2 linked regions of the Arabidopsis thaliana genome follow. The protein of the gene in region 2 interacts with the protein of the main gene of each other region in a biochemical or structural test. Each region holds a gene or a part of one and is shown on either strand. Other genes may lie near its edges. The genes, in order: PEN3 and CML37.

Region 1 (18,603 bases), on a different chromosome or scaffold from region 2:
AGGACAATTTCAGTGAAGCAGTAGATAGCGATCCTAATATAAGAGACTCTGAGAGGATAAGAAGGTTTTCCGTACACAGCCTCACGTGAGTCACGTGACACCTGTGATAAAAGAGTCAATATATATTCATATTCTCTTAAAATCATATTATATAATCAAACTCAAATGTGATTAAAGATAAATAACCAAATGGATAAACCAAAATAAATAAATAAAACATGTGATTAAAGAGATTATTAATTTGAAAGAGAATTTAACATTAGAAGGAAAATTCAATAATTGTTCAATGAATGAATTAAAAATATCCAATTTTAGCATCATCCTTAAAAAAAAAAAAGATATTCTAACACTATACAGCAAAACTGGCGGCTCCAGCTGCAGTGTAGACTGTAGAAGATAAAAACTATGGTTGTTGCCATGTGAATCTCTTTGAGCCTAAAATGATGCAAGAATCTTTGTCAAAGACAGTTATTCTCTAGTCTCTCTCTACTACTACTCATTCTTGCATATCTCATTCTCAGCAAAGAACTTCACACCTGCACAATTTATCGTGAGTTAGAGATTATTGATGATTTGCAGTATTGATCACCACAGGCAAATAAAAGACAAGAGGGTTACTTACGGCGTTCTTGAGTTAAGGCAAGGCGACAAGTCTGCGGTTAAGACTCATGTGAAAGCGCGATATTCGTTTCTTTCTCGAGAGTTCACTACTATCAGAGGTTTTAACATTTTCAGGTCCAGTTGGATTCAGTGTTGCTTTCTTCTGCTTTCTTCTATATAAAAGATCTGCTGTGTGTGGTTCATACTTGACCTAATGAAGATTGTAAACTCTCATCAATCATATATACATGTGAAAAGAGAAAAGATTATCAGTGCAAGAGATTCACAAGAAAGTATTTTACCTTGAAAGAACTGCAAGCTATCTTACATTCAACCTCATTGATAATGTTCAATCCTTCCAAGGCACGTGACATCCCTAGAGATTCTTCACCCGGACCACTTAATTTTGCCTTGTTCCTGAAAAGAGTATGCTAAGGTGATTACTAACTGTACTACCACAACTGAAGACGAAAAAAGGTTATGCTCTAATCATTGCTTCATTCACCTTTTCAGAAATAGTCCGGGTTTCTCTTCATCACTGACAAACGAAAGAAAGTCATTCTGCAGATAATTAGCAAAACCTGGTTCCACTGTTACAGCTGTAACTTCAGGCTGATCATTCCAGCTGTTCATAAGTTGAATTCCGAGACGGGTTTGGGCAGATGACTGCACAGAAATTTGCAAATACAGATTAGTATATGGGAACATATAAACAGGTATCCACACATATCAAGAGAAGCATACATATTCAATCCTGTATATGTTCTGATCATGGAGAAGGGCTCGAGCATTCTCATGGTACACTATATCAAAGAATCTTCCTGGTTTTCTGTAGTTCTCGTATGCATATAGCTGCAGAAGCTTGGTGTCTGTCTCATCAGCTGCGACTGCGTGAAGCTGAAGCATGTCCAAGCCACTTAAATGATTAGTGCGGAGCAAACAAAAATAAAGGAGAGAGAACAGAAGCAGAGTCAAGACGATAACAAGGTAAAATGGAAGCTTACATGCTTAACAAACTTTTGAACTAGCTTGTCCAATGTGAAGAGAACATATGATTGTGCTCCGATAATAGCTCGACATTCATCTTCAAACTTTGTATTGTCGCTAGAGCCATCAAGTAAATTGTAAAGGGCTTCCATGAACCTAAGCTTTCAAATATCAGTTAGGAAATAATATTTTTTCAATTAAAAAGTACCAATGATGCTTAGAAAATAAACCACCTGGTATAAGAATCAGTAGATGTGCTATCTGGAGCTTTCCATTTCCTCTCTGAATGTATCTTTGCTGATTGTATTCTCTCGTACAACATCTGGAAAATCAGCAGAATTAGCGGTTTGGACTGAGACAATTGACATTTGAGGAACATGAGAAGGTTGTTTCGTAGCACTTACTTGATGAAGCCTAAAAAGCACATAGAGTGAATCATTCCCATAGAAAACTCGAGAATCATTCCGGGTGTCGCATTCACTTGCTTGCAGTGTCCCAGGCACATGCTTTGCAAGGGGCTTTACAGGTTGCAGATACCGTTCTGAAAATGTGAAAAAGGATCCATCTTCACCCTCGTTGGAATTAACCATCCCTCCAGCCTCATTTTCACTCTCAGCTCCTTTATGCTCTTCATCGGAAGAAACTTGGCCACCAAACTTGCTTGCTGAGACAATAAATTTCGAGGCATTTTCATCCCCTTCTGATAACTTTTGAGTTATTTTATTATCATCATCTTCAGGGAGGGCATTGCTCCTTGTTACAGCTTCAGTACCACATGCACCCTCTTTGGGTTCTCGGTCTGTATTACTTATTTCATTATCTGGTAGTTTCTGCACAGGCTCGAGCCCATTCTCTTTATAAACCTCGAAATTTTCTTGCTCGCAACTTTCAGTGGGGGATAATTCACCCTCTTCTCGCTCGACCTTATGCCCTCCCATTGATACATCACTGACCCTACTACGATTCTCTACACCCTCCATTATCAAATCGTTTCTGGTTGACACCAGTTTGGAAGGCTGGCTATCCTGTAGAACCACAAAAACAAATATCAAGGAAATATCTTTTTTCACATACAGGAATATTATGAAAACTTAAGCAACTTTCATTTATTGCCCAACAGTAAAATACGCTCTACCACCACTAGTCCAGATTTATGAACCTTTGACTATATTTACTCAGTGAAAAGTGAATACGGCCTCAGGTCAAGAACAAAGGTACTCAGGAAGAAACAATACGGTTACCTCATTAGTTATAGCTGCAACATCATGCAGTTTATCTTGCTGAATGCTTTCTCCTGTGTTGACTGGCAAATCTTGCGCAAAAGAGCTTCCTTGTATCATTGGGTTTTCTTTGTTAGGCATTTTTGGAGGTGTTAACGGTTTAAGGTTTGAGGCCATAGAACCGTCACATGTATTTTCCTTCACTGCCTCACTTGCATCATGGTGCTCTTGGTTGTCTTCGATCTTTGCAACATCTTTCATTGTCTCAATAGTTTCAGACCTAGAAGGAACGCCAAACATGGGCTCCAAAAAGGTTACCCATAGCTTCATTACTTTATCCGACTGTTCAGTAGCACATATTTCCTCACAATAATACTTGATTAGCTTATATAGGTCAGTATGAACTTTTGTATCAGTATAAATGAACTCCACATCTGGGGTGAAAGAGGGCTTAGTTCCAACAGCAATGGCACGAAGCAGGTCTTCTTTATGCTTTCTCTCACTGATATCTTTAATCTCCGCCACTAAACCTGCATTTGGGACATAACAACCAACTTTAGTCGACACAAACTTGCACTTAAATGATACAAGATATTCTCTTTGTTTCATCATTTTTTTCTTCTAACAATCAGTGACGCTTTTATATTAAGAACTCTCCCTGTAGAGAAAGAAATTGCTAATATGAAATATCCACAAAATCTTCTATGGAGCTTCAACTGTAGCCAAACGAAATGAATGGGTTTTTAACCTAAATTAGGTTCAAAGTCAAAACAAAATGAACTTGTAGTCCTGAAAGAAAACTTACCTTTTGTGCTTAAATTCTTGGAGTCCTGCTGCTTGAAATAGAAACTACGATGATCGAGTGATTTGTGATGATTCTTAGCATATACTTCAGCCCATACTTTCCTGAAATCAGCGCGACACCTAGCCCATTCTTCTTGTTTCTGCTTCAAGCGTGTTAGAATCACAGGTAAGGCGATATGAGAATTCTTCTTCAGAAAATCCATGACATCAAGCCCATAATCCCCGTACAACCGCTCAATGCATCTTAGGTTCAGCTCTATCAATTAGTCACATATAAGGTCATTAGGCAAAGTAAAAGAATAATAAACATACATAGTAACATTTATCACAGCCAGATTTGATAAGATAACTACTTGCCTGATAAGTGTTCTCTAATACAAATTGGTGTCTCTATAGAGATTGTATTGTTGTTAATCTTTTCCAGAAGACTTTCCACACGCTTGATGGCTGCACTTACAGACTCTAGTAACATGTCCAACTCAAACCTGAAACCATATCAGTTAGTTGATAGATCAGATGGAAGTAGAACTTCTTTGGGAATTCAATTGTCAGCAGAGAAACCCCACAATATTATCCACAAAAGTTTCAGACAACTTAGTGAAATTAGAAGGGAAGACTGAACTGAATAGAAAACAATCATGAACTCCCAATGTTATTGAAAGACTCCAGTTTAAATACAGAAAGAAATACAGGAACCTAATATATACTATATACGTCTTACCTATCATCCTCACATCGAAACAAGCTTTCTTCATACTGATTTTTGCGCATGTGTTTGAATGAGTAATCCTCACTCCCCGATGTGACAGATACCCAATGATCGTTAAGCACCTTTTCACCAAGTGAATTTCTGTAGCTTGGAATCTGAATAGGATACTACACAAGAGAAAGCCAACCGTATGATTATAGAGCACAAAATCAACGCTATATTGAAGTATGGTAGATAATAACATTAAGGTTTAAGAAGGGCTCACATCATCTGGCAAGCGACGATAACTTGGTGTACATTGTGCACAGTCAGTAAGATCCAGTTCATTTATTGCCTTGGCCATATGGTTTGTAGACAGTAGATTTTTTTGACTTCCGATGTCTGGATCTCTTTCATGGCCCCCGTTACTTTCATAAATTTGAATCCCCTCGGTGTCCTCTACCTTAGGATATCCTGGCCATTGACCTTGATTAGCAAGGGATTCTGCAAACATTAACATAGTTGGACCTTAGCACCACGTAACTACTGACCAGTCGATAAGCAGAGACAAGATTGACAATAACCACAGTATAGAAGATGGCAATATGTCACGTAGATATATATACTAATTTCCCTTTCATATCAAAATCACTGAAAAATAGAAGACATCTATTTGTATTATCATGCTCTCACTAGGCGCTGAGCCAAGCAATAATAATTAAACAATGCAAATAAATAATGCTACAGGTGATTCAAATACTCACTTCCCAGAGAATTACCAGCAGAGTAGGCCACAAGGTTCTCATCACCATCCTCTCGTTGATCAGAGAGTTCAGTATACTCATCATGCCTACTCCGTTTTATTTTCTGTGGTAGGAAAGAGTCCATATCAACATCTCACCCAAACTCAGAATCATCAAGTTCCTTAAACATATATTCTTTCATCTATTCTGTAAACTATCTTAATTCCTATATATATCTTGCTTTTAATTTATCACTCTTAGAACAATTAGGGAAAGGATGTTATTACATTCCATACAAAGCATGCATGGTCACAATGCAGGCTTTCTACCACGAACATCAATTAGAAACATCATAAACTACGTTGTAAAGATATGTGAATCTTTTAGAAAGAATGAATTAAGGCAAACCTTCTCAAAATGCTTTGGATGCATGCCAGGAAATGTAGAATTTCTATCACGCGGTATTGTGTTCCTCTGGAAAAGAGGGTCATTAACAGAAACTGATCCTCGAAAATCTGGTAAGAAATGAACAAACTCCCCGAGCAGATCTTCATGGTCCTGGAACAACAGAGTAACCTGTAGAATTGATGATCATCAGAAAACAAATCACAAGAAAATCTGGCTATATATATGAAAAAAGAGTGAGGCAGAATCGTAGGCAAATCAACACTATACCCATTTACTGTAAATATACCTCTTGATAGACCTCGTTGATGGACTTGGTTTCCTTTCTATACATGTTCAAGATGTCTAGAAATTTTTTATATGCACGGTCATCACCTCCAAATCGCGCCTGGAGGAATAACTGTTTAGATCATGACTAAATTTGGTATCTGGATAAATACATCAGATACATACCTTAATCCTGTTGACAAATTCGATAGCTACTTGGAAATCCACTGGCTTCTTAGGTTTCTCATCCTCAGGCTGAAGGGTAATTTTGTACCCCTTAGGTAAGAAGGTATTAAAACCCAAAAGTAAGTCGTCATAGCCCTTGAACAAATCTTTTACTCTTGCTATGACGCCATTAGTGTCAACTCTACAACCAGCATGAGACGCAAAAAAATTTAGAACATTTCCAGCTGTAAGAAGACACACAGCAAACGGAGGAGAGAAGAAGACATTTACCTCTGAGCTTTGAAGTCCTTCATGACTCCAAGGAAAGTCTCATATTTCTCTTTGTTGTCTTGAAACATATCCTTCACAGCTTTAAGATATGTCAAAGCATCAACTGTTGTTAGCCCTCCCGTTGTTCCTCCGCCACTAATCGTTGAAGGCCTACCATTTCTGCATTACACGAACATATATTAAGTTGCTTTTCGCACCTACGTAGAAATATTAAATTCCTTTTCCCCTACGAAGCTACAATAATTTTGCTTAAGCCTAGGAGGATAACTAAACCACGAACAATTATAGACCTCAAAGAGAAAACTCAACTCAACCTAGAAAACAAACCAGAGCATGGAAATTTAAATCCCCACAGAAGAGAAAGACAATAAGAATATCTATCAGTCTGCAAATTTGATAACACAATTTCGATACATATATCCTCCATCAATCTTTACCATTTCTGCATTACTCCAACATATATTAATACGCATTTAGGTCATAAAATCAAATTCATTACACTTATACAGTAATTATGTTTTAGCCTATAAGGATAACTAACTTAAGAACAATCATAGACCTCAAAAATAAAAACTCAACCTAGAAAACAAACCAAAGCATGAAAATTTCAAATCCCCACAAGCAAAAACAAGCAATAAGAATCTCTATCAACCTACACACTTTTGACTTCCTTATAAAAAACACACAATTCAAAACGAATACGATTTGAATTGACAACAGAGAGAGACAGCTTACGTTTCTCCTCGAGAGGAAACAGTAGGTCCTCGCATTTGTGGTTCAACGTAAACCTCTTCTCTAACCCTCTTCATCTCTTAGATTCAAGCTTCACCAAACTCTAAGTACCCTGAAAACAAGCCAAGTTTAAAATCACAAATTCAAAAACTTCCCTCTCTCTTAAACAACAAACACAAACCAGATCTATCGCCAAAAAATCGAAACAAAAATCAAAAACTAGATTTTGATTATATATACAAACCTTATATAGACCGGATCACATTCATGAAAGCGAAAAAACCAAACTTGTTCATTTCTTCCAAAGAAGAAGATAAAACCAACATAATAGAAGCTATAGAGAAGAGTGGATCGCCGCCGTTAGTTTGCCGGAGAAAAATGATACGAATCTTCACAGAGAGACAAACAAAAAAAGATTGCTTCTGGTTTGGATCTCTCTCTATATTTATTATCTCAATCTCTCTCAGATACGAATAGTTTTGAGAAGAGAATTAGCCATAAGAAAACCAAAAAGGCCAAAGCTTTCCGAGCAACAGAGGGAAGAGAGCGAGAGAAGGAGGAGCCTAAGATTGTGTCTGTTCTGTATATTATACCAAGGAGATATATAATCAAGTGTTTGTGTTGTTAATAACAAAATCTTTGGCATGTATTCATGCATTTAAAGTAATTGAAACATGATAAGAGATTTTGGTAACAAAATGGATTTCCCCTAATTTCTTACAGTCAAAATTAGGGTATCATCCTATCACCTATACTTTCGGGATTAAAACATATGAGATTTCTTGCCATTTTATGTATTTTTATACTTTCTTTTGGTCAAGAAAAATTGAATTTTCCTATTTATAGTAGATTAGGTTTTTAATTAAAGATTTTTTATAATAATAAGTTTAAGCTTATGTTTTTTTAGTGATTATTAAATAAAATGGTTATTTCTTTTTTTTGGTACAAATATCTTAACGAATCAGAAAAACATTTGGTTTAATTCGGTATTTTGAATTATACAAATGTTAAGGCGAACAATTTGGCACGAAAAATTCGTACTAAACCGCTTAATATAACTTATGTAAATAATACTCCTCATACTTGGATCTTTTGAGCCCTAAATAAAATCTGAGAATTTATTTTAAAACGAAGAAAATAAAAGAAAAAATGAAGTTGAGAATTTATGAAATTATCAAAAAAAAATAAACTATAAAAATAATCTTAAAATTTACCATAGTTTTGATATTTTCTTATCAACATATCACGATTGTTTTTTTTTGACATATTTGTGTTCTTTATTACGTTTGAAAGAAAAAACAAATCTTATTTTAGTATGAAGTTTTAGTTTATATTGGAAATTCTTAAGAGTTTTTTATCGTAGATAAGGGGAACGTTGTGTTTTTGGTAAGGCAATGGAAGAATGACTCCTTTATGCTCTAGTGACTTCCATGTTCTTTCTTGAGGAGGAGGAAGACCATTCTTCTTGTTTTGCTCCACAAGATTGAAATAAGAAATGTTTTCTAAAAGTTCTTCACGCTCCATATAGACTATCTCTTTCTCCAAGATATATATATTACCAAACGGAGCACTTTTCATTTTGAAAAATCAACTTTTACTTTTCATCTTATCTTCATCCATACTAGACTCAAACTCAACTTCAATATCAAACAGTGCTTCTAAAGCCAACTCAACCCAATAACCATACTTCACGCTCTCTCTTCAGGTAAGGATGTGATGATTCTTTGAGACCAAATGGTCAATAAATATATCAAAGAAGTCTATTATTTCCCCTTCCTCGTTTGTTTTGAAACACATAACTGACTTTATTGGTGATAGTGGTAAGTAGAGCAAACGATTCGGCTTTGGTGGTGAGGAGAGCCAAGGAGAGGCTTTTGGTGGCGAGGAGAGCCGAGGAGAGGCTTTTGGTGGCAAGGAGAGGCAAGGAGAGGCTTTTGGTGGTGAAGAAGAAAAAGTCATTAGTAGTGAGGTGAAAGAAGGAGCCATTGATACCATTTGAATTTGATTTGATCTTGATGGTACCTTTGGTGGTGATGAAGGAGCCTTTGGTGGGGAAAAAGAAAACGCCTTTGATGATCTTGATAAACACAGCCATGAGAGTATATAAAAGATATTCAAAATTGGGAAATGTTTTCATGATAGAAAATAGAAATAACTTACTTCTAAATACTCTGAAACAAGTTCCTATTTTATCATAAAGCTACCCATACTCCATGACCTCATCAGAGACACAGAGAAGAGAAGATTTTATTTTACTCCATGACATGTACCATCAATCTCATGTGACGTCTAAGCAAGATATTAACGAGCTCCTAAATAGAGAGGTGTTCATCTCGTTTAAACTTTTTTTAAGTTTAGGGTTGGTTTCAAATTGGTGTATCAACGCCACCGCCAATATACGTCATATTCTTGACATGTGCAGAGAAGAAGGATGTGAGGAGCTTTAGTTCTCATTTATTTCGATTTTGTTAGTATTCTTATCTTTTTTTAGATTCATGTTCTATTTGATAAGTGTAATTTTGATGTTGGTTGATTTGTGATCACTATTGTTAGTGAACTCCTGCAAAAATAAGAAGACTGAATTAGAAAAAGCAAGAATACAATGACACTTTCTAATTACAGCATATATTCTAATGAAAATTTGGTTTTGTTTTGGAAAATAAAAACAATTTTTTCTAATATGAAGCTTTAGTTTATATTGACAATTCTTAAAAGTTGTACAAAATTGTTTCAACCTTTTCTACTACATAAATTTGTCTTATGTGGTTATTATTTTTACATGAATCTAAATATGTAGCTTCTTTTTTTACTATATTTTGCGTATAACAAATAAGATCCGTGCTAGTGGGATTTTTAACTACTAATAATAAGAATTCCAAGTGTATATTAAAATCCAATAATTAACATTATTCATATCAATGACGATTTAATATGTGGGTAAGCATTTCGACAAAATTATTATCATATACTTGTTATCCTATTGATGATGTACAAAGGGATTCAATTTATTTTTTGCAGTATATACAATCTCACGTCTTTCTCATATATGTATGTTAAATTAAAAATAAAATTTACTCGTATGTTTCTATATGAAGATTAAGTTATTTCGTTTACATAATGGATAATGAGTTGATCATCTATCTATATATTAAGATCATTTGATGATATTCTATAACAAAAATAAATACTAGTATTAATGAGATTTTAAAATAGTAAGACGTCAAAGTGAATGTTCAAGTCAAAATTTAATATTATTTTTAACGTATCAATGATGATTTAATATATTGGTAAATGTTCATACAATTTTTTTTATCATATAGATGTTATTCTATTGATGATGTATAAAGAGACTCAATTTATTTTTTGCATAATACTAAATCTCACATTGTTTTCTATATAGACCTAGTGTAAAAAGAACTTGGTCATGTATGATTTCATATAATAGTTAAGTTATTTGATCTACATAATGGATAATTAACGAGTTGAAGTGTTATCTAAATAAAGTTATTTTGATGATATAGAGTGAGAATTACAAACGTAGGTTCAAATCAGATGGTTAACATTGTTTTACATTTGATTCGATTTAATATTCTAATAAATATTTTTGATGATATTTTTATTATAAATTTGCATTAACTAGAATAATTTGGCCAAAATAAGAAATCATTGAAATTATATAATAATATATATATATTGTTATCCAACATATGTTCAACAACGGGCGTTTGGTCTAGTGGTATGATTCTCGCTTAGGGTGCGAGAGGTCCCGAGTTCAATTCTCGGAACGCCCCTAAAATATTTTTTTCTTCAAATTCCTAATGGGCCAGGTTTCATAAATAATTCATCGAGGCCCAGTAAGAAGAAAGGGTTATATCATATGCTATATAAGATGACAAGGGTCTAAATATTTTGAACGGATCAATTTAGGAATCCAAACCATATTATGCAATGATCAAGATATAGGGTGGTGTATTGGCCTAAACATTTGGGTATGATTAAATGGAAATTTGATTGGGAGGACTTTTGGTAGGATTTAAGGAAATTTTAGGTGATTTAATCCAAAATTCAAAATCGTTTTGTCGTTGTAAGATAGACTTTTCTATATTTAGAAAAACTGATTTATTGAGATTTCTCATTAAACTTTATGATATTGGTGTTGTGTTGTGATAATTTTTACAGAACCATGTTATACAATTATCAAGATTTAATCATGAAGAACATTAACTTATCCTCCATTGATTTTGTCTTCTTTGATAATGGATATGATCACACTTTTTTTCTGTCTTCTTCCTCTTATTGGAAGTATCGTAAAATAAAAAGTCTCAAGAAACAAACAAAAATGGACTTTGAGGGATTTGTGGATATAAACACAAAAAAAAGTGGAATTATATTACATGATTCCGATTCGTCATCATCTATAAGACAATAAATAAAAATATTCAAAAAAATTTCGTTATGACACTACAATACATATTTAGAACATACAAAGCTTATAGTGCATATAAACAACACAGAGGATACAAAAAAAGAAAGAGACTTTGTTGTTTGAGAGATGGTTTTATCTGGTCTGGAAGTTGAGAGTTCTGATGCAGAAGGCGAAGATGAAGGCGAAGAAGACGGTGAAAGCGATGAGTACAGCCGCCACTGGTCCCATAAAGTCAGATTGGAAACCATAATGGTCCTCAATGTATTGCTTGACGGTTAAGTCAGGAGCACCACCAAGGACTTGGATACGTGTCTCCACATCACCGTACTGCGACACTATCAATCCATACACGGTCCATGCAACAGGGCAGATCCAGTAGTACCAAATCCACCATTTTGGGATTTTGGGTCTTGGAATGAAGAAACCAGAGAAGAGGTTGAAAATACCGTAAAACGCTGAGGCGAAAATCGAAGCGACTTGTTGGTTTGGTGTGAGGGAAACAGTCATCATGCCGTAGTAAGTCCAGTAGAGGAATGAGAAGTAGCTAACGAAGACGAACCAGAAGAACTTTTCGGCTTTCCATTCGAAACCAACCATGGCGTAGACGATGAGTGAGTAGTAAACGGTTTGAATAAGGACATAGGGAAGCTCACAAGTGACTTGAGAGATGGCATATGGCATGGCTGAGTACATTCCTGCTGCTCTTTCTCTGTAGAACACTGTTCTTTCCACTGCAACCATCGGTTGTACTGTTGAACAGTTGTTGATTCCCACGAAGATAATCGCGGCATACAATGCTCCTATCACCATTGTTAGATCCCCTGCGTTCGACCTGTTACCTCCGATTTGCCAGAAGACTGTACCAATCAAGAGAGATGTTGCCAATGTGAAGATGAAACGGACAAGATTGTAGTCTGGAGATCTCCAATACGTCCACCATTGTTTCCATAAGCATGATTTGAACTGTCCCCATGTGTTTTGTGAGAATTGTGTAGCAAAGTAAAGATCTGATGCTCCTGCTGGTGGTACACTTAGTTCTTTTACCAACGCTTTGTTTCGCCTGCATTTTGTTATGTATTCATTAGTACTATTACTTAAACAATCAATCAGATGCAATGAGCCATGGAAAAGAAGGAACTTAAACTTACTGGTGCAATGCTGATTGATTGTATAACTCAGCAAAGTCAACACTAAGCTTTAGCTCAGCGGCGAGTGAGCTAGCTTCGAGCATCCAAGTGGCCGGGTTATACTTTTCTGGAATCTTGGACACTCCGGGGAAAGATTCAAAGTACTCAACCACCTTGTGAGAGTTTTGACCCAATGGACCCGCGTAAATCACTTGTCCTCCTCTCTTCATCAGCATCAATTCATCAAATGCTTCAAAGATATCAATGCTAGGCTGATGAATGGTGCAGACCACGGTTCTTCCAGTGTCCACTGTGTTCCTTACCGCCCTCATCACAATAGCCGCTGCTCTAGCGTCTAGCCCTGAAGTTGGCTCATCCATAAAGATGATGGAAGGGTTGGCTACAAGCTCCACCGCGATTGTCAGTCTCTTTCTCTGCTCCGTGGAAAGCCCCGTGACACCCGGTAAACCAACAATGGAGTCCCTAAGACTGTCCAGCTCTACCAATTCCATCACTTGATCCACAAACATCATTTTTTCATCTTTGCCGACTTCTTTAGGAAGACGAAGGAAAGCAGAGAAAATCAGAGATTCTCTGACTGTTACTTGCGGGGAGTGAATATCGGTCTGCTCACAATATCCTGAGATTCTAGCAAATGTTTCTTGAACCTTTGGGAATCCTGATATTCTCACATCTCCTTCAATGTATCCACCTGTTTTCCTTCCGGCCAAAACGTCCATAAGCGTAGTCTTACCGGCACCACTCACTCCCATAAGCGCAGTCAAAACTCCTGGCCTAAATGCACCAGTCACACCTTTAAGCAGTTGGAGTCTTGTTTCTGTAACTCCTTGGTCTCTCATTTCCTATACCATCAAAAGATATCTATTTAGTTTAAGTAATTCATATTTAATTTAGTGTAAAGATTTTAAGTGAAGATAGTTACTTACCCCAGGCATGTCAACAAAGTATTTGACGTCGTCAAAGGACATAGCTAAAGGAGTGAAAGGAAGAACCATTCCTTTCTTATTGCCTGCACCACCTGATGCTTCAGCCGCAGAGTCCCTACTCATTCTCCCCATTGCGACCTCTCCTCCTGATAGCAGGGAGCAGAATGAGACAAGAGTACAAGAAAAGCAAAACATCTAAGCAGATTAAGAAATGTGTTTACTTACTTCTGTTCCCATCTGCAGTAGACAAAGATCTACGCATTGGATCTTTCCCCTGATCAGCGTCTTCATTTTCTTCTTCTGGAAGTAAACCTGCCTTCTTCCCAAGAGCTGTAGTTTCAAAGGTACATTATTAGTAGTCTATTGTTTTTAGATTTGGTAAAACGGGTGATACAACACGAGAACTTACGGTTGAGATAGGTAAGTGCCAAGGTGAATAGAATGTTGAAGAGGGCTGTGAAACAAAGCAAGGCTCCAACTGAAATCCAGTACCAGTTCTTTTGATGGTAGACATCCCAAGTATTAAGCACCATAGTTCCAAGCTTTATTGTGCTGTTAGAAGAAGCCTGTAATTTGAAAAAAATATGACTCAGAGGCGGCTTTACTATGATATTTGTTTGTAAAATGCAGAATAAAGAAGTAAGCCACTTACCATTTTGTTCATCCATCTGGGAGCAAACATTTCATTGACTACTAGACCGTTGAAAGCATAGGTGAGAGGAGATACCCAGTAAGCCCAACCCCACCAGTCAGGAATCTTGCCTTTCGGAAGAAGGAAGCCTCCGAGCAAGAACACAAGAAGTAGAGTGAGAGCACCACCAGTATTAGCAATCATCATGGTTCTGCACACAGAAGCAATCAACCTAAAGAGGGATGCAGCCATTTGTTGAATCAGAAACACCAGAAGAAACTGCTTGAAGAAGCGGCTGGCGTCAGGTGCAAAACCAATGGAGTAATAAGTCACCACCATCCAAGCCGTCGATTCTAATATTGAGCTTGGAATCCCAAGCAAGAAAGTGGGAAGTGAGAAGGTCCAGGATGGATAAAACAAGAGATCCCTCTGTTTGTAGAACACAGGGAGTCTTGAAACCATCATAGCCATCTCCGCAAACCCATTAAACATGTTGATGATCATTCCAAATAGCAATGCTCCTATGTAGAGATTAGCATCACCCTCGTTTCTTGTGTTCATTTCGGTTCTCAGGAAGAGTGTAGACGTGATTGCAGCAATGATGACGATCTGGACAGTCTTGAAAACATAGAAGAACGCGTTTCGCTGCATAAGCAGCCACTCTTTGTCCCAACAGCTCTTGAGAAGCTCCCTCTTTGAGACAGAGTACTTATCGAACACAAGAGCTGCTTTGTGGCCGCGAGACTTATCGAACGGTACTGCAAGTTCGTTAGACATCTTCGTCCCAACATGGAAACTCTTGTATCTACTGGCAAACTCTGAAACCGGAATGTAGTGATAAGGTCTGTTCGGGTTCACCCAGTACTGTTCTTGATCTTTCTTGGAAGTAACCTCTTGCAGGAAATCAGCTGTTCCTTTTCTCTCAGGACACTTGAACCCAAAGCTCTCAAAGAACTCAAGAATGTTGTCTCTCGGTCCTTGGTACACGATCTGACCTTCCGACACCAAGATGATATCATCGAATAAATCAAAAGTCTCAGGAGCAGGCTGGAGGAGAGACATGAGCACCGTGGCTTCATTGAGGTGAACGATTTGTTGCAGACACTTGACGATTTGGAAAGTAGTGGAACTGTCAAGACCAGTGGATATTTCGTCCATGAAGAGTGTCTTAGTAGGTCCAACAATCATCTCACCAGTTGTGACACGTTTCTTCTGACCTCCAGATATACCTCTCATCATGTCATCTCCAACTATTGTGTCTTTGCAAATGTCAAGCCCCAAAATCTGTTACACGGCCAAAGTTAGTATTATACAAAAAAAGACTCAAAACTTTATGAACATGAGAAAAGATTGTCTAGAACATTTTTAGAATATGAAAACTTATATCAATATTCTAAAATAATGAAACCAAACGGTTAATGAATAAATTCCGGTTCAGTTTCGGTTTATAAAAAACGATTTAGTTCGATTCGATTTTATGAGTTGCTTGCCTAGTAACAAACACTCTTCTTGAAACAAAAAGAACAAGATGAGCTAAGTTAAGGCGAGAGTTGGACTCACTTTGAGAGTATAATCAGTGACGAGACTGTTCTTAACACCTTGAGCAGCAGAAGCTTTCATGAAGAGATCAACATCGGCTTCCGGGAATATACCAGCGTCCTTTTCTCTCCTCGCAAGCTCATTCAACAGATCTACAACAACAAGAATCAAAACCATTCAACAAAACTGAATCTTGAAAAAAAGATATGATTAAAGATTGAATCTTTTACTTACCATAACGAGTACCAACACCTTGACACCTAGCAGAGAAGTCAAGAGTCTCCTTAACAGTCATGATACCAACATGAAGATCGTTCTGACTAATGTAAGCAGAGGTCTTTCTCGGAACAAACTCATCGAGTTGGTAACCATTGTAAGTAATATCACCACTGACTTGTAGAGATTTATCAAGTTTCCCAGCTAAAGCCAACAAAAGAGTGGTCTTACCAGAAGAAGGAGGACCCAACAAAAGTGTCATCCTTCCAGGTTTAATAACCCCAGAGATATCTTTAAGAATCGTAAGCTGAGCTTTCTTAGCAAATTGAATACCAATCATACCTAAAGCAGACTCTCCCATGTTCCTCACAACATTCAAAAGTGTAGGAAGAGATCTATTACCAGTGTAACAATCAGCTTTAATCGTCAAATGCTCGTACCTGACTTCAACAGTTGGAAGTTTGATACCAACTCTATCGATCCTGTTTCTTAGCTTAGTCAAGATCCTTTCATTATCTTGCTCAGCTACTTTGAAAACCATGTCAATAAACTTCTGACGATCTTCACCATCAAGCTTGGTTACATCAACCTCCTTGCTCATGAGCTGGTTACCGTAAACATCGTCTTCGACTACAGCGTTCATGAGAGTGGTTCGGAGACGACTGTAAGTTGGTAGCTTCTCAATGGCAGCCCATTTAAGAGCTTCTTCATCGTCGTTGACTGATTGTGTTCTTCTTGAACCAGATGAGAAGATATCTTCAATGTTCCTACTTGCTCTGCTTACACTTCGACTTATGCTTCTTCTCATACTAACACCACCTCCTCCTAAAGGAGGAAGATTTGGATTGTAATCCATCGTTCACCAAGAAAGCTTGTGACTTTGGCTCAAAGTTTATGTCTTTTGAACAAAGTTTGTGTTTTTGGATCAAAGTTTGAGACTTTGGATCTAATCCCGTGAGGATTTAGTTGGGTGATACAGAGAAGAGAGAGAGGAGGAAGATGATGAATGAAGAGAAGAGGGTGGGATTAGAAAATGGATAAATAGGGAGTGAGGAAGGAACATCAAGGCGGACTTTTCTTTATGTTGACTATTCATACTTTGTTGAAATAATCAAAAATAATAAAAAGTCGTGTTTTTTATGTGCAAGATGGGTTTTATTATTCAAATGTGACGGCTCTTTTACGTTGTTTTTTTATTTACAAAAGATATTTTTTGTGCTAATAATGCGACGGCTCTTTAACGTTTGTTATTTTATTGCAAAGATATTATGTAATAATTGAAGTGTTTGAACATTTCTTATTCAAAGTCAATAACGATGACCCCATTTAGTTATAGCTACTACTAGTGGAGATATCGTTAAATGAAAAGTCTTTCTTGTGTACTTTGTTTCTTTTCTACATTTTATTGGTGAGAAAAGAAAGGAAGACCGTCGTTGGGTTTTGAAGTCATTGTGTTGATGAAGTCACATTCACATTTCAATTCAACACATACGTGAAGGATGGTTTGTTTATAAGTCTTTGTGTTCTGGAAAGTGAGAAGTTGCGGAGGAAGAAGCCATTTAAATACCCGGAATAAGAAGTTTTAGTGACAACTCCTCAATGTTGTTATGATAAGAAGACTCCATTGACTTCCTCTTAAACTCTGCGTTTGGCTATTTTCTCAACTAATCTTTGATTAGTGCTCTGCATTTTGTGTATTAACCAATGTCTAATTCATTCCTTCAGCCAGCAAATTTCATTTTCCTGAGCTCTTCTCAGCTTCTTTAGTAATGCTCTATAGGTTGGTTTCTTTGTCAATTAAGCTCTCGGTCTTCTTCAGTCTGCAGTTTATACTCCAAGTTTTCATTTACCTTTGAGGACGACTCATCGATTTTTTCAAGAGAACAAACCTACATTGCTCTGAGTTTTCTAAAGCAATGTTCTTTGGCTTGACTTCGTTGACCAACAAGCTTCCTTTAAATTTCATGCTTCCAGTTTCTGCTTCTCTAACTCTTTCCTACAGATCCTCATTCTTCTCCTCAAGTTCCTTCAGTTTATTCTCATTTACCTTGCCAAGTTCCCGACTTTTCCGCGCAAATGAAGTTCTCGCTGTCTCTACACAGTCTTAGAATGGACAAACTCATTTTGGGTGTTTACTTATCTCAGTCTTCAAGAATTTTTCCTTACTTTTCACTTGTATATTTTGCAGCCAACTTATAACTTTTAATTTGGGCTCCACAATGTTCAAGCTATGGTTGACATATCAACAAGACCTTCTCCAATCCTTGCCTTGCTTTAAAAACGCTTCACTTGTATCCACCAAGCTTTCATATACCTTTGACAAGTTATCGAGTTTTTCAAGAGAAAAAACCTTCATTGCTCTGAGCTTTCTGTTTTCTAAAGCAACCTTCTTTGCCTCGACTTTCATGCTTCCAGTCTCCGCTTCTCCAACTCTTTCCTACAAATCCTCACTCTTCTCCTCAAGTTCCTTAAGTGTATTTTTCATACATGCTTCTTCTTCTTCTCATTTTCCTGAAGGTCAGACAAATTCACTTTGCCAAGTTCCCAATTTTCCACACAACTGAAGTTCTCGCTGTTCCCACATAGTCTTAGAATTGAAAAACTCATTTTGAGTGTGTACTTATCTCAGTCTTCAAGAATTTTTCCACAGTTTTCATTTGTATCTTTTGCAGCCAACTTATACCTTTTCATTTGGGCTCCACAATGTTCAAGCTATGGTTGACATATCAACAAGATCTTCTCCAATGCTTCCCTTGCTTTAAAAATACTTAACTTGCAAATCCAAAGTTAAGCTTTCCATAGCTTTGTTGCTTTT
Region 2 (14,634 bases):
AGACAAGTTTAGGGTAGAACTCATGAACCCGAGGAGGGATTGGAGATGTTTGGATTGTAATCCAGAAGCCTCTCTCAATGTCATACCCTGATAGCTTATCATTCTCAGAATAAGCATAGAAGATTCCATTGCATATAATCCCACAACTTACAACCCCAAAACCCATCGGGAGTCTCTGCATTTCTGACCATGTGTTTGTTGCTGAGTCGTATATTTCACCTGAATCCAGTGGCTCATCGAATATGCCAGTGCCTCCTATGGCAATGAGCACAAATCTCTTGGAGCTGTTTCGGTTAAGCCGATCAAGCTTTTGTCTTATTAATCTGTGGGATTTGGTTCCATTTTGATCAGCCGAGTTTCTGTTCTGTCGTCTTACCGATAGCCTGTGAGGGTCTTCATAAACGTCTGACTCTCCGCCAACTCTTGACAGGTGAAAGCGTCTATCTTGGCGATTCTGTTTGGTCTGCATGGTCGAAAACTCTGAAGTAACTTCAGTGGCACCAACAATGGGAAGTGATCTAGCATGTCTCATAGACGCGATTTTACGCCATGCTTTGATCGAAGGGCTGAATACCAAGATCCCTCTGTGGGACTTGAAAGAGTTTCTGTCCATAGAACGACCTCCAACTATATAAATCTCCTCATGGATGCTTGTCACGGAGTACATAAACCGGCCTTTAAGTAGATCAGTTTCAATCCTATGCCATTTGTCCTGAGAAACATCATACCCGTGAATATCACCAGAGGAGCATCCATCTTTAAGAGCAGCAAACAGAAACAACCACGGTGTTTGAAAGGAGCCTTCTCGTCTCATCTGGAGAAACCGCTGAGTGTTGGCCATGGATTGCCATTTCTTGCAAACAAGGTGTGCATTCAATAAGCTGGTCAAAGGAAGCCTCATCAAACACATTTCCAGAATATCATCGGGAAGATAAACGTGCTTGCGGTAATCCTGGCCCGAGTCCGCAAGGTATCTTCTATTATTCTTCTTCCAGAACCTCTCTCTAACCCCATAAGAAAAACAATCTAACCTAATTTCTTCAGTTCCACAAATGGTCATCAATCCCTTACCATCCTCACTAGCACTAGACCATCTCTTATTACTTAAATCCTCCTCAAAATCCTCACCCGTATCAGCAACTCTGCAACCAACACTGATGCTTAAACAATTCACCGCTCCCCTTGCAACCTCTTCATCTTCCACCACCTCAGTTTTATGAATTTTTTTCTTCAACTTCTGGCTAACACTTTTCACAAGCCTCCTCGAAACGGTTAAAACCTCCAGATCCTGCCGTATAGATTCTTCTCCCAACGGTTTCTCAGAAATCATCATCCGTCATCTAACAAACTTCACAAGTCAGACACCTTGATCATGCTAAGAAGACCATCATTTTCCACAGATAATCAACCTGCAAATGCAAATCAATCAAAGCTTCTTCAAGTTGTATACAATCTCATGAGGCTTGCGATGATCAAAAAGCATTATAGTGAGATCCGCTTATTCTACCAACCACTCGATTAAAGATTAAACATGTAAAAAGCCTAACTCCAAAATTCCAACGAAGTAACTCAAAGAAGCCTACAAAATTAAGTTTCACAATCAAACTACAAGACGCGTCTGCAATTTCACACAATGGACGAAATTCAACAAATTCGAAGAACAATTTCACTCACATTGAGCATATCACCCAGAAGTTTCGAAAAGAGATTCATCCATCGACAGAGTTGCTTTCCCAAATCCAGAGCATCTTCCCCAGAAATCACCGAAGAAGATGAAATAATTGAGACCTCGGAGACCTAAGATTGACGCATCGATTTCCCACTTTTCCCTTTTTTATTTTATTTTAAATAGATCATACTGCAGAAAGCGGAAGCTAAAAAAATAAATAAAAAACAAAAAAAAAATAAATGGAAATTAAGCTGACTCAATTATGGGTCAATTGCAAGAATATCGCTTTTTCAATAAAATAGTAAAAAATTAACCTCATATTACTAATTAACATCAGATTTGGGAAGTATAGTGGATCCTATCGGTAACATACAGCTGTTCAAATCTTAACTGTTAACGGTGATAAAAACTTTTTCGGAATACTGCAAAGTTGTAAAAAAATAGTTGTACGAGAAAGCTATATAGTAATAAAGCTGAGAGTAAAACTTTTTGTAACGCTTTAAAAAAGCTTTTGTAATTAACAGAAATAAAAGCGGTACAAATTGTAATACTTTGTTTTTGTTCACCAATCAAAGCCAATATACTTTGTTTTTGTTCACCAATCAAAGCTAGTATCCGTTTTGAGATCATTACTGAAATTATAAAAACTTTAATTTGTTTAATTTATTACAAATAGACAGTGAAAACCTTCATATGTAATAAACGATAAACCTTGGTTTACAATAATAAAAGAAAAAAGAAACTGGAAACTATAATGCTATTGCATGTAGTCTAGAATTTAACTTGTGTTCACAAACATTCTCTTTCAAAGAAGTTTAATTAATAACAGCTCAAGCTTAGAATTCCCATCACAAGATCAAAATCCATGTGTTCAACAATTTTTAACATTATAAGCTACATCCGAATTGTAATCCCTGAATAATCCAACTAATACAGATTATAAGTCATAAAGACACTTTTGTTGGACCAAAAAAAGTTGATTAATGTCATCAACAATCAATCGACCTTGCATTTATAAACGCATGCTGTTATGGCCAATACAGCTCCAATGATAAGTCCTAATATCGCCATTGCCAAGACTGTCGAACCCAATCAAACAACGTATATATCAGTACTCCGCAACATTCTTTCATCATGACCAACCACAGTGAGGAAGAATGACATACCAGCAATGGTGAAGTAGATGAGAACTGCCAATCGGTATCTGGTCGTTCCTGGTAATTCAATTTCGAGTGTGCAATATCGTTGAGACTTTCCCTTAGTTGTTGTATCTTTTAAAGAATTCGAGCCTCCTGGTTGGAGTTCAGATAATGAAACATTCGTGCCTAGTACAGTGTCTCCGTTAACATCTCTGATCTCGAGCTTTATGGTAACCGGATTTGCATTCCAATCTATCGATATTGCTCCAAAATTTTGTTGTCCTGCACGTAAGTTTAAGATATTGTAACCAATGTAATCATACAAAAGAGTACATCGCTGCTCTGTTAAATCAACTCACAACAGTTACAGTCTACTATATTCCGTCCTAGGTTAGTGACAGTAGAGCTATAGAGCTAAAGTTGGAACTTAAAGTAGACTCACTGTGTCTTGGCTTGTCAATAAATCTTTCCACAGTTTATCAGAAGAAAACGTAAAAGGAATCAAATTGAGAATAATACCGTATGTGCAAGATTTGAATTTGCAGTTATCATTGATAACTCTCATCGTGCTTGGAGTATACCAAAAAAGAAGCCTAACTATGGAACGCAAGGGACGAGGGACAACTTTCTCAACAGATTGTACTAGACCACTGGAGGTGACATCATATAATGGGTACCCAACAGAACAATCATATCTCGTGATTTCTCCAAAATGTACATCTCCACTGATGAATATAACTCCATCTCTCTGTAATGTCAAAGCAACGAAGAATTATGGGGACGAGGAAAGAAGAAAACTGACAGTTGGAAACATTACTGTCAACAATCCCATACCTTAGTATCTGCTATCAGTTTAAAAAGACGTTTCCTTTCCTTTGGAAAACGACCCCATGATTCCATATAAAAGAGAGGTCCAGTGGTAGCAGAAAGATTTGATATCACCTGGACAAGTTAAGAGACAACAGTTCTAGATGGAATAAGACACTCAGGCTTCATCAAGTTTAAGTCCATGGCCAAACTGGAACAGGACACAAAAGTCTAATTTGCAGATACCTGAACAGAGGATCCTATGATAGTGATTTCGCTTCGGGGACCGCTCAATTCATTTTCGAGCCAGTCCCACTGCGTATCACCCAATATGCTCCCGTCACTTCTTAAAGGGTCTCTATGATATCTAGTATCTAAAACTATAACCTGAAGGAGATACACAACTGTGTTAAATCACATATAAGCTCTTCATTCTAAACTTAACAAAACTACCAAAGAAGACAAGAGTTTCTGTTAATACCTTAACTTTCCGATTAGGCGGACCATAAGTATAAGAAGCATAAACACCAGCTTGCTTTCTCCTAGGACTATCAAGAGGCTCATTCAAGAAATCAAGCATAAGTTTTTGGTTAATGACTTTACGATCAAACTCTTTTCCAGCGTCATTCAATCCGTAATCATGATCATCCCATGTACCAATAACCTTAGCTTTTCTCTGAATACGAGAATATCCAGGATTAGCTTTGGCTTTAGCGTATCTTAGTTTCATTTCTTCCTCTGAAGAAGGTACAAACCTCGGTGAATTCCTCCATGGCCCAAAAGTTCTCTCTTTCCCAATGACTGTAAGTGGTCTTCTTATATCTCCGTAGATGTTATCACCCAACCAAATAAACAGTTGCGGATCAAACTTGTTTATCGCATCCCATATCGGCTAAAATGTAACAAAAATACAATGTTTAACATAGTATGCAACACAAGCTTATATCATCTAAGAGAACATCGGCTAATTAAACAAAAACCATAATCAGCTCACTTAAACACCAGCCAAACAGAGCAGTCTTAAAACACTGAATCCAGAGCCAAGTAGGGGTTGTACGATTGATTTACCTGTGGAGCACTTTGATTAGCGCATGATCCGAAGGCTATACGAGTGATAGGAGTCTCTTCTGCAGCAATCACCACCGTAAGGAGTAAAGAAAGGCACCAGAAAGAGATTTGGTTCATGACGATGTGGTGAATCGAAGAGAAAACCCTAGAAGCAACCGTGGAAAGAGGAATCTTCAAGTTTTCATTAAAAGATCCACAAGTTTTGGCTCGCCGCAGATTCGGTTCCGGCGATTTTCAGTTACCGTTGGGATTTTGATAGACAGAGACTGTAACTTTTTCTACTTTCTTCTCGTGGCTTTGATTTTTAATAGCTTTACTTTTTCTTTTCTTCAGATGAAATTTCTATTGCCTGGTTTTATGAATCTTTTTTCTGGGTTCCAAACAAAAAGTGAATTTGTGAAATATCCGTATTATTTATAATTATGGAATGACCATTGAATTTTTTTGTAGATTTGTTTAACATATGCAATGATTTTTTAAATATGAATATTAATTACTTGAGAAACAAATATCTACTACATATTAAAAATGAATTTGTATTTTCCCCTTTGAATAGAAATCAAATTCACTATATGTGGCAAATAGATTAATTCATTTTGATTTGTATTACATAATTTAAATTGTTTATCTACTACTATGTGATGATAAATCCATTTAATATGTGTTCTTCTATGAAAACTTTATCCGACCAAAAAAATAATTTTATGAAAATTTTATTCCAATTTTCTAGATTGTATAAAATTTCCCCGGAACCATGCAAATTCAGAATTTTTTACACTAGAGACTTCTACGGATGGCAAAATTGTGAAGTGTAATATTGTTTTAGACATTAAGAAACAAGTTTCGAAGCGGATCGTTTTAGTTAAAAGGTTTACAAACAATATTATCTCTTATTGAATAGAAAAAGTGAATTGGTGCAATAATTATGTATCTGTTTGTAACTGTAATTATAGAAACATCCAATAATGTGAATCAATATCATTGTTCTAGCATAATAAAACTGTAGATTTACAAACGTCAAACGATATGAAATGTTTTACCGACCTCTACCAAAAAATGAGTGATGTGAGAATATACGCGCGTTATCGGTTGTTTCTCACTCACCTAGTGACATTGGTCGAGCGGCAAATGGTGGTGATGACTGGCCTCTTTTACGACTCGCAGTTTTAGATTTTAGTCCCCTTAATTGGGTATTCTCAGTTATGGGGAGACATATAAACACATTTTGTATGTTTTGACAAATTCAGAATATCAAAACAAGACACGTTTATTATGAAGTGTGTTAAATAATACAAATAGATTAGATGAGACACAAATATACAAAGGAATAAGAATCTCTCACAAAAATAATAATTGAATGAATAAAATTTTGAGGAGGGAAGGAAGATGTCCCAATCCCATATATATCATCTCAACGCATCATCAAAACAAACTCGTCAAAGCTGAGAACTCCATCGTCATTCTGATCAAACCCACGAATCATAACCTTACAAGCATCAACCGTACACGACTCGCCGAGTCGACTCAACGTCCTCCGTAAACTCGCCGCCGTAATAAACTCTTCCCCCTCCATAACATACATCCCAAACGCTTCTTTCAACTCCTTCCTCCTTTCTTCATCACTACCATCTTCCCCTTCCATAAGCTTCAAAAACTCCTCAAAATCTATAAACCCGTCTCCGTCAACGTCTGATGTCTTCACCACTTCCTCCACCTCACGTGACGATAACGCGCCGCCTAAGAGACTAACGCAGCTTTGTAGCTCTTCACCGGAGATTTTCCCGTCTGAGTTTGCATCCATATAGTCAAAAACGGTTCTTAGCTCGTTAACGTTTAACGAGCTGCTTCCGCTACTATTACTGCTCGTTCTTGATTCGTCTTCAAGGTTTCTTGACGATTCTGATCTCTTCGAGGAAACTTTCTTGTATAGTCGTGACAATGATGATTTTTGGTTCTTAGCGAGAGTCATTTCTTGATTTGAATATGAATCTAGAAGATTTGGGAAATGGATTTCTGATGCAAATTCTTTTCAAGAAGTGGTAGATTATATATAGATGAGTATGTGAATGCGTGTAATGGTGGAGAGATTCTTGATTGTTCGACGGTTAAAACACGGGTTTGAATATTTTGGTGTTATTATTTAAAGCTAGAGGCGGTTGCGCGGCGGTGGCCGGGAAGTTTCCTCCGCAATGAGTGTTTGTGGGGAAAGGTCAAGTTGACCACGACTAGGGGTGTTTTCGTAATAATGTGATGGTAAGTTTTTCTCACGTATTGTGTGAAATGTGATGTCATATCGACGACTAGATTAAGAAAAGTAGCAAACCTTCTCTTTGACTTTGATTGAGTATACGATGTGCGGACACGTGGTTTTGGTCTTTTAAATTGTTAAACTGTCATGAAGTTTCATATAACCGTCCAGATATGCTCCACGAAAGTGGTATGACTTCCTCTGTTCCTAGAAACTTGAATTAAAAATAAAATATTTCATGTGATGAAGTTTCATCTAACTGTTACATTCCCGGTCCTGAATTCCCTTTCCATAAGAAAATATATTTCTATATGGACCAAAAGAGAGTTTTATTTTTATCTTTTTGCATCTCAAATGCCAACTTCATGTAAAAGCTTTTACTGATGTATAGTTCGGCTTTCTAAGCTCGACGGTTTAACTCGGCCCAGCATATATTGTTCAAACAATTCAGTTATTCTTTGAAACTTCTCCCCGTAATTATCGAGCTCAAAGATTATTTAACAAAAACATCTCTGTTTCCCCCCATAAAATCTCCTTATAAATACTTAATTTGATCCTAATATCAACAAAATGTTAGACTTTAATCTATATCTTCAATTCTTGATGAAATGAATTTCCATGATGCGGTGCTGGCATATCGTGACCTTACTTAATTCACATTAATTAAACTTTCTGAGCAAATAGTTTAAATTGTTGGTATCAAATCTCACAAATAAACTTACTATGAAAAACTCATGATCGCCAAAGTGAAAATAGTATAGAAAGCCTAGTTTAGAGTGACAAACACTTGAAATCCTAAACAATCGATCTTGTAACCACTATTGCACATCACCACAAAACACACATTATCTGACGAAAGCTAATCACATTCAAATGATTAAACCAAAATAACAGAATCTAAACATTAATTAACTTAATATTCGAGATACAACGAGACCTATACGAGTTTGAATGAAAGACAATTTTCTTGTCTACTATATGTACAAGAAAAAATAGAGATCATACAAATAGCTTTTCTTCTAACTATCGAAATCAATATTCTTATAATTAGGCATGAATCCTTTAAAAATTTAGGGGTCATGTAACACTTAACATAAGCAAATATATGAATGCATAAAATTATTAACTTTTCGATCATTTTTTTAAAAAATTATAATTTTCGCAACGTATTTAAACCAAATTTCACAAAATTACATCAATTTTTTTTTTAGATTGCTATCTAAGCCCTTAACCGAAATACCTAAACCTAATTGAACCGATCAGTTCAAAGTTGCCAGCAGATAAACAATGTTTTCATGTCCGACTCATACTCCATAGTCGAACGATTAACCCAAGAAACATATTTCCAGTGAAGGTTTAGTCTTAAATCTACCAATATAACCAGAAAAATCCAGAAAAAACTTGCCATTAACTACCGCATGATCAACCGGTTAAAACTTCTGGGTGAAAATCTTTCCAAAATATTGAGATTTTGACTTCAAACCCTTTGCTACAAATAGAAGGTTTGATTTTGGAATTAAAATATATAGTTTGTATTAAAAAAGAAAGAAACATTAATATACTCATATAAAAAGAGTTTAACAAAATAAAAATCAGGAAGGAGAAGACAATAAACGTAGCTAACCTCATCTCCCTCTTCTTTTTTTTTTGTTCTTTAATAGTTTCCGTCTCTCTTTTTCTCCTCCACCTCTCCTTTGTCCTCAATAGCCGACGATGGCTTCATCGTCCTCTTCCATTTTCACCGGTGTTAAGTTCTCTCCGATCTTAGCTCCCTTTAACTCCGGAGATAGCCGCCGCTCTCGATATCTAAAAGATAGCCGGAATAAAGTTAGGTTTAATCCATCGTCGCCGCGTCTCACTCCTCATCGTGTTCGCGTCGAAGCTCCGTCTTTAATTCCCTATAATGGTCTTTGGTACGTATCAGTTTTCAGCTTCGTGTTCATGGAAACTGAAATTAGTTCTTGGTTCAAAATTTTGTTGAGTTCAGTTAAATCGATTTGTTAAATTTTGTGTTGAATTTTGTGGTGTTAAAGGGCGGCGCAGCCAAATTCGCATAAGGGACGTTTAAAGAGGAACATTGTTTCGGGAAAAGAAGCTACCGGGATATCACTTTCTCAAGGACGTAATTTCTGTCTTACTTGTAAAAGGAATCAAGCTGGAATCAGAAGAGCATTACCTAGTGCCTTTGTGGATAGAACTGCATTTAGTTTGTCGAGGTCGAGTTTGACATCTTCTCTGGTAAGTAAGCTACATCATTTACTTTCTATGTTCTTGTCTTGTGCTTGTTTGGATTTATCTCTGTTTAACTGACTCAACATGTGCAGAGGAAACATTCTCAGATTGTGAATGCAACTCTTGGACCAGATGAGCCACATGCTGCTGGTACAGCTTGGCCTGATGGTATTGTTGCGGAGAGACAAGATCTCGACTTATTGCCTCCTGAGATTGATAGTGCAGAGCTAGAAGCGTTTCTTGGTTGTGAACTTCCTTCTCATCCAAAGTTGCACCGGGGTCAATTGAAAAATGGGCTTCGATATCTTATTTTGCCAAACAAAGTTCCACCGAACAGGTAAATTGAGTAGAATGCTCGAAGTTGGTCTACTTGTGATACTCTTAATGACAATATATCATTCCTTGAAAACCAGTAAGCAAAATGGTTATAGCTTAACCATATGGTGGAATCCTTTAAGGTCTTCCTGCTATATCTTATTTGAGTTTGGAAATGTTTTCAATGCTAGATTTGAGGCACACATGGAAGTTCATGTAGGATCGATTGATGAGGAAGAAGATGAGCAAGGGATTGCTCATATGATAGAACATGTTGCTTTCCTTGGGAGCAAGAAACGTGAGAAACTTCTTGGTACAGGTGCCCGCTCTAATGCCTACACCGATTTCCACCATACAGTATTTCATATTCATTCTCCAACCCACACGAAGGTTTGTTCTCTTCTACACCTATTGGCGTATTTAGTGATGTATCTTTTTCTTGGTTAGTTCAATTCACAGGTTTTTATTGCCTCGTATTTACTTTAACAAATATGGTGCTTATAGTCTATATCTATATGTTGCACATGGAGTATTATGTGTCTTATGAGCAAAAATACTAGGTTTAGTGTTGATCTTTATTTGTTTATAGACCTTAAAGTCTGTTGATTGGTTGGCTTATTGTGATAATTTCGATAACATGTCCTTACTGGCTTGCTAAATGATAGAGTTGGCTAGCTTCATATTAATTATAGTTCTCAACCTTTTCAGGACTCTGAGGATGACCTCTTCCCATCTGTGCTCGATGCCTTAAATGAGGTATAATTTTGCAATTAAGACGATGTCTTCCAATTAGATATGCCCCGAGGTTTTTTCTGTACCATGAGTCAAAATCCCTCTTATGTTTCATGGATTATGATTCATTTGGCAGACAAATTCTTATTTCTCAAATGATTACAGATAGCCTTTCACCCAAAATTTCTCTCTTCTCGAGTTGAGAAAGAAAGGCGGGCCATACTTTCAGAACTTCAGATGATGAATACAATTGAGTATCGTGTTGACTGCCAGGTAATCAATCATGAGGAATAGTTTTCTGTATGTCAGCACAACAGCCTTTTGTGTTGCCCAATTTTTGGTGGATAGCCAATGACACATTGTACTTTATTTGGTGAGACTAGTTGTTGCAACATCTACATTCTGAGAACAAGCTGGGTAGGAGGTTCCCTATTGGATTGGAAGAGCAGATTAAGAAGTGGGATGTTGACAAAATTAGAAAATTTCATGAGCGATGGTACTTCCCAGCCAATGCCACTCTATATATTGTGGGAGATATTGACAACATACCTCGGATAGTCCACAATATTGAAGTAAGATAGTCTCTTACCTTTCTCTGACATTTCTTTTGAATTTCTACTGCGTAGTCTATCTTGACCAGACAATCATTCTTCCACAGGCTGTGTTTGGAAAAAATGGTTTGGATAATGAATCAACACCCAGTTCTCCTAGTCCTGGTGCCTTCGGTGCCATGGCTAATTTTCTCGTTCCAAAGCTGCCAGCTGGTCTTGGTGGTACCTTTTCAAATGAGAAAACAAATACTGCTGATCAGTCTAAGATGATTAAAAGAGAAAGACATGCAATTCGTCCCCCGGTTGAGCATAATTGGTCGCTTCCTGGAACAAGTGTTGATCTAAAGCCTCCACAGATATTTAAGCACGAGCTTCTTCAGAATTTTGCAATCAACATGTTTTGCAAGGTTCTTGTTACAATCTTTTAATTCTTCCCTTTTTCAGAAAGCTTCATATGATACATGCAACATAGGGTGGTAGTTTATATTATGAAATGTTTACAATTTCCTTTGTCTTCCTGCAGATACCTGTTAGCAAGGTTCAGACATTTGGAGACCTGCGAAATGTTCTGATGAAAAGAATATTTCTCTCTGCTCTACATTTTCGAATTAATACGAGATACAAGGTATGAGGGTGTTAGGATGTCGTCTTTCCGAATACATTTGTTCTCAATTTTACTCAAGAAGAGAAAATTTGTTCTCATTTTCTTGCACAGTACATTTTGCTTTTATAGATTAATGAATCTCAAATCTCAGTGAAATTACAAAAACGGCTCTTTGATGGGTTTGTTCAAATAATATAACTGTGTTTTCAATAATCTCGAGGTGCACTATCTGAGTAAAAACTCTTTTTCAGTTCATGGACGTAGCTATATTATATTGAAGGTTTTAGGAATTATGTCTATTATAACTAGACTCAATACTGTCAGTGAATTTTGATGATGTTATTTTTGTACCTTTCAGAGTTCAAACCCACCATTTACGTCTGTTGAACTGGACCATAGTGATTCGGGAAGGGAAGGATGCACTGTTACGACTCTTACTGTCACCGCAGAGCCCCAAAATTGGCAAAATGCAGTCAAAGTTGCTGTCCAAGAGGTTTGCTTATTGTTTCTTCTCATTTATCTTCATTGTAAATACTATTTTTCTCTCTTTCGTTGGATTGATCATTTGGACGTGATGAATAATGGATTGGTTAAGCTAAAAGACTGTTAGAGCCATTGACACTTTTTCTTTACTGCTGAGAATTTATTCAGCTTTAACGTATAATTCTACGTGCAGGTTCGAAGACTTAAAGAATTTGGTGTCACCAGGGGTGAACTTACACGTTACATGGATGCTCTTCTAAAAGATAGTGAACATCTTGCAGCTATGATAGATAATGTGTCTTCTGTTGATAACCTGGATTTTATCATGGAAAGTGATGCACTAAGCCACACGGTTATGGATCAGACGCAAGGACATGAGACCTTGGTTGCTGTAGCTGGAACTGTTACTCTTGAAGAGGTAGGTTTCACAGTTCCGCAGTTCCGCTTTTCTTGTTGAATGTGACGCGAAAGATAACTGTTGATTTCAAAATTCTCGGTGATTAACAAAACGCACATCAAGTCATCAATAACAACCGGATTCTTAACACTTCCTGCATATCATACTATTTCAATATTTATATTTGAGTTGGTTGCTTTTCTTCTGTTTTGATAATTCCTTGTCCAGGTAAACACTGTTGGCGCCAAGGTGCTAGAATTTATTTCTGATTTCGGAAGACCCACTGCCCCTCTTCCCGCAGCAATAGTTGCTTGTGTTCCCACTAAGGTGCATGTTGATGGGGTTGGTGAGAGTGATTTCAATATATCTCCTGATGAAATAATAGAGTCTGTCAAATCAGGATTATTAGCACCCATTGAAGCTGAGCCTGAGGTGTTCTTTCTTTTGTAACTCTATCTTCGCTTTATTCAAGTATAAACCAAAGGCTAGTTCTGAATCAGCTTTTTGCCTTCATCCTTGCAGCTCGAGGTGCCAAAAGAATTGATCTCTCAATCACAATTGAAAGAGTTAACCTTGCAGAGAAATCCATGTTTTGTCCCTATTCCTGGGTCAGGTTTAACCAAATTGCATGACAAAGAGACTGGGATCACTCAGCTTCGGTTATCCAATGGGATAGCTGTAAATTACAAGGTACGTCTTTCATCTTTTTGCTCTTCCTTACTATGTAAGGATCTCCGTAGTGATTTTCTTTCTACATTATTAGACATATTCCTCAATATTTATATTGTTGTTTGCTGTCTACTTATCAAATTGCAGTTCTTAACAACTTAAGAAAATATGCTTCGTTCTAGCAGAAAACATTTTATTTGGTGTTGATTGATACTTCAGTTTTTACTGTACCATCTTGTATGGAGAAATAAAGACCCTTCCCTTGACATTTCCCTTTTCAATATAGAAATCTACGACCGAATCCCGGGCAGGTGTCATGCGGCTCATTGTTGGTGGTGGACGAGCTGCTGAAACATCTGATTCCAAAGGAGCTGTGGTTGTTGGTGTTCGTACACTCAGCGAGGGTGGTCGAGTTGGAGACTTTTCAAGGGAGCAGGCAAGTGAAGCTGTTGAAAACTGTATTGTGATTTTTAATCTAAAACTAAAAAAGGATATGAACTAATCTGAAAGCCATTTAAATTCCGTTTAGGTGGAGCTGTTCTGTGTAAATCATTTGATAAACTGTTCGTTGGAGTCAACTGAGGAGTTCATTGCCATGGAATTCCGGTTTACTCTGAGAGACAATGGAATGCAAGCGGCTTTTCAGCTGCTTCACATGGTGCTTGAGGTATTAGATTATAACAAATAAGATATAGAATGCTGTGCAACATTTCAGACTCTTGATCTATTGATTTGCTGGTCAATAATGTTTTCTTTTACCTGCTTGTTCGTTTTCCTTTATTTATTTTTTTATTTTTTTCTCTAATCTTTTGCTGAGAAAGAGTGGTGGTTCTCTGGTATGCAGCGTAGTGTCTGGTTGGAAGATGCATTTGATCGAGCAAGGCAGCTATATCTTTCGTATTTTCGATCAATTCCTAAAAGCTTGGAGCGTGCGACTGCTCATAAACTTATGATCGCTATGCTGAACGGTGATGAGCGTTTTGTTGAGCCGACACCTAAGTCACTACAGAGCTTGAATCTAGAATCTGTGAAAGATGCGGTCATGAGTCATTTTGTTGGGGACAATATGGAGGTGAGATCTCCAACTTAAAAGCTGATGTTTGCTTGACTTATATTAATTTTATTTGATTTTCATAAAAGTTTCTCTGGTTTCCTTCAGGTAAGCATTGTGGGGGACTTTTCAGAGGAGGAAATCGAGCGTTGCATCCTTGATTACCTTGGTACAGTTAAAGCTAGCCATGATTCTGCAAAACCACCAGGATCTGAGCCTATCTTGTTTCGCCAACCTACAGCTGGCTTGCAATTTCAACAGGTTCGGAACAAAGCAGTAAATGCATGGAATTTCTTGTTCCTCTCTTTGGTTTCCCCATCCCCTTAGATATGTGATTCAAGCAGGATATATTGACATCTTTATCTCTGGATAGGTATTCTTGAAGGATACTGATGAGAGAGCATGTGCATACATTGCGGGACCAGCGCCAAATCGATGGGGCTTTACAGTTGACGGGGATGACCTTTTTCAGTCTGTTAGCAAACTTCCTGTTGCTCATGGTAAGTTACACCTTAACGGAACAGACTTAAAATTAGGAGTCATATGATGTCGTGGTTTTCAACCTCGTGGAAACTGTGTATAGGTCTGGTTCTGAGCTTGTCTCATAAACCAGATATTTATCTTCAGTAGTAGTAATGAAGTTTAGTGTTAGCTCTGACATAAAGTAGC

What was found.
Region 1: the proteins of CML37 (region 2) and PEN3 form a complex in vitro, tested with the Arabidopsis thaliana proteins (one study listed by BioGRID).

What each region holds. Positions count from the first base shown.
Region 1 is NC_003070.9:22,032,702-22,051,304, reverse strand, and holds PEN3 (ABC-2 and Plant PDR ABC-type transporter family protein), read right to left. Parts: upstream 16,883-18,603; 5' UTR 16,645-16,882; coding exon 15,807-16,644; intron 15,725-15,806; coding exon 15,594-15,724; intron 15,318-15,593; coding exon 14,055-15,317; intron 13,969-14,054; coding exon 13,812-13,968; intron 13,733-13,811; coding exon 13,628-13,732; intron 13,549-13,627; coding exon 13,403-13,548; intron 13,319-13,402; coding exon 12,477-13,318; intron 12,389-12,476; coding exon 11,461-12,388; 3' UTR 11,179-11,460; downstream 1-11,178. Other genes in the region: SNL5 (SIN3-like 5), read right to left, coding at 635-811, 903-1,017, 1,106-1,266, 1,345-1,497, 1,605-1,743, 1,821-1,909, 1,992-2,612, 2,829-3,337 and 10 more; AT1G59885 (uncharacterized protein), read right to left, coding at 8,490-8,588, 8,707-8,997; AT1G59865 (uncharacterized protein), read left to right, coding at 18,008-18,305. UniProt on the Arabidopsis thaliana protein: Together with ABCG37, regulates auxin homeostasis and responses by playing a dual role in coumarin (e.g. esculin) and in the auxin precursor indole 3-butyric acid (IBA) efflux transport, thus influencing cotyledons, roots and root hairs development.
Region 2 is NC_003076.8:16,936,664-16,951,297, forward strand, and holds CML37 (calmodulin like 37), read right to left. Parts: upstream 7,158-14,634; 5' UTR 6,653-7,157; coding exon 6,095-6,652; 3' UTR 5,784-6,094; downstream 1-5,783. Other genes in the region: AT5G42360 (Galactose oxidase/kelch repeat superfamily protein), read right to left, coding at 1-1,333; AT5G42370 (Calcineurin-like metallo-phosphoesterase superfamily protein), read right to left, coding at 2,666-2,748, 2,836-3,031, 3,251-3,556, 3,643-3,750, 3,862-4,002, 4,097-4,507, 4,684-4,800; SPP (Insulinase (Peptidase family M16) family protein), read left to right, coding at 8,645-8,844, 8,965-9,169, 9,256-9,500, 9,670-9,868, 10,187-10,234, 10,376-10,483, 10,594-10,782, 10,869-11,168 and 10 more. UniProt on the Arabidopsis thaliana protein: Potential calcium sensor that binds calcium in vitro.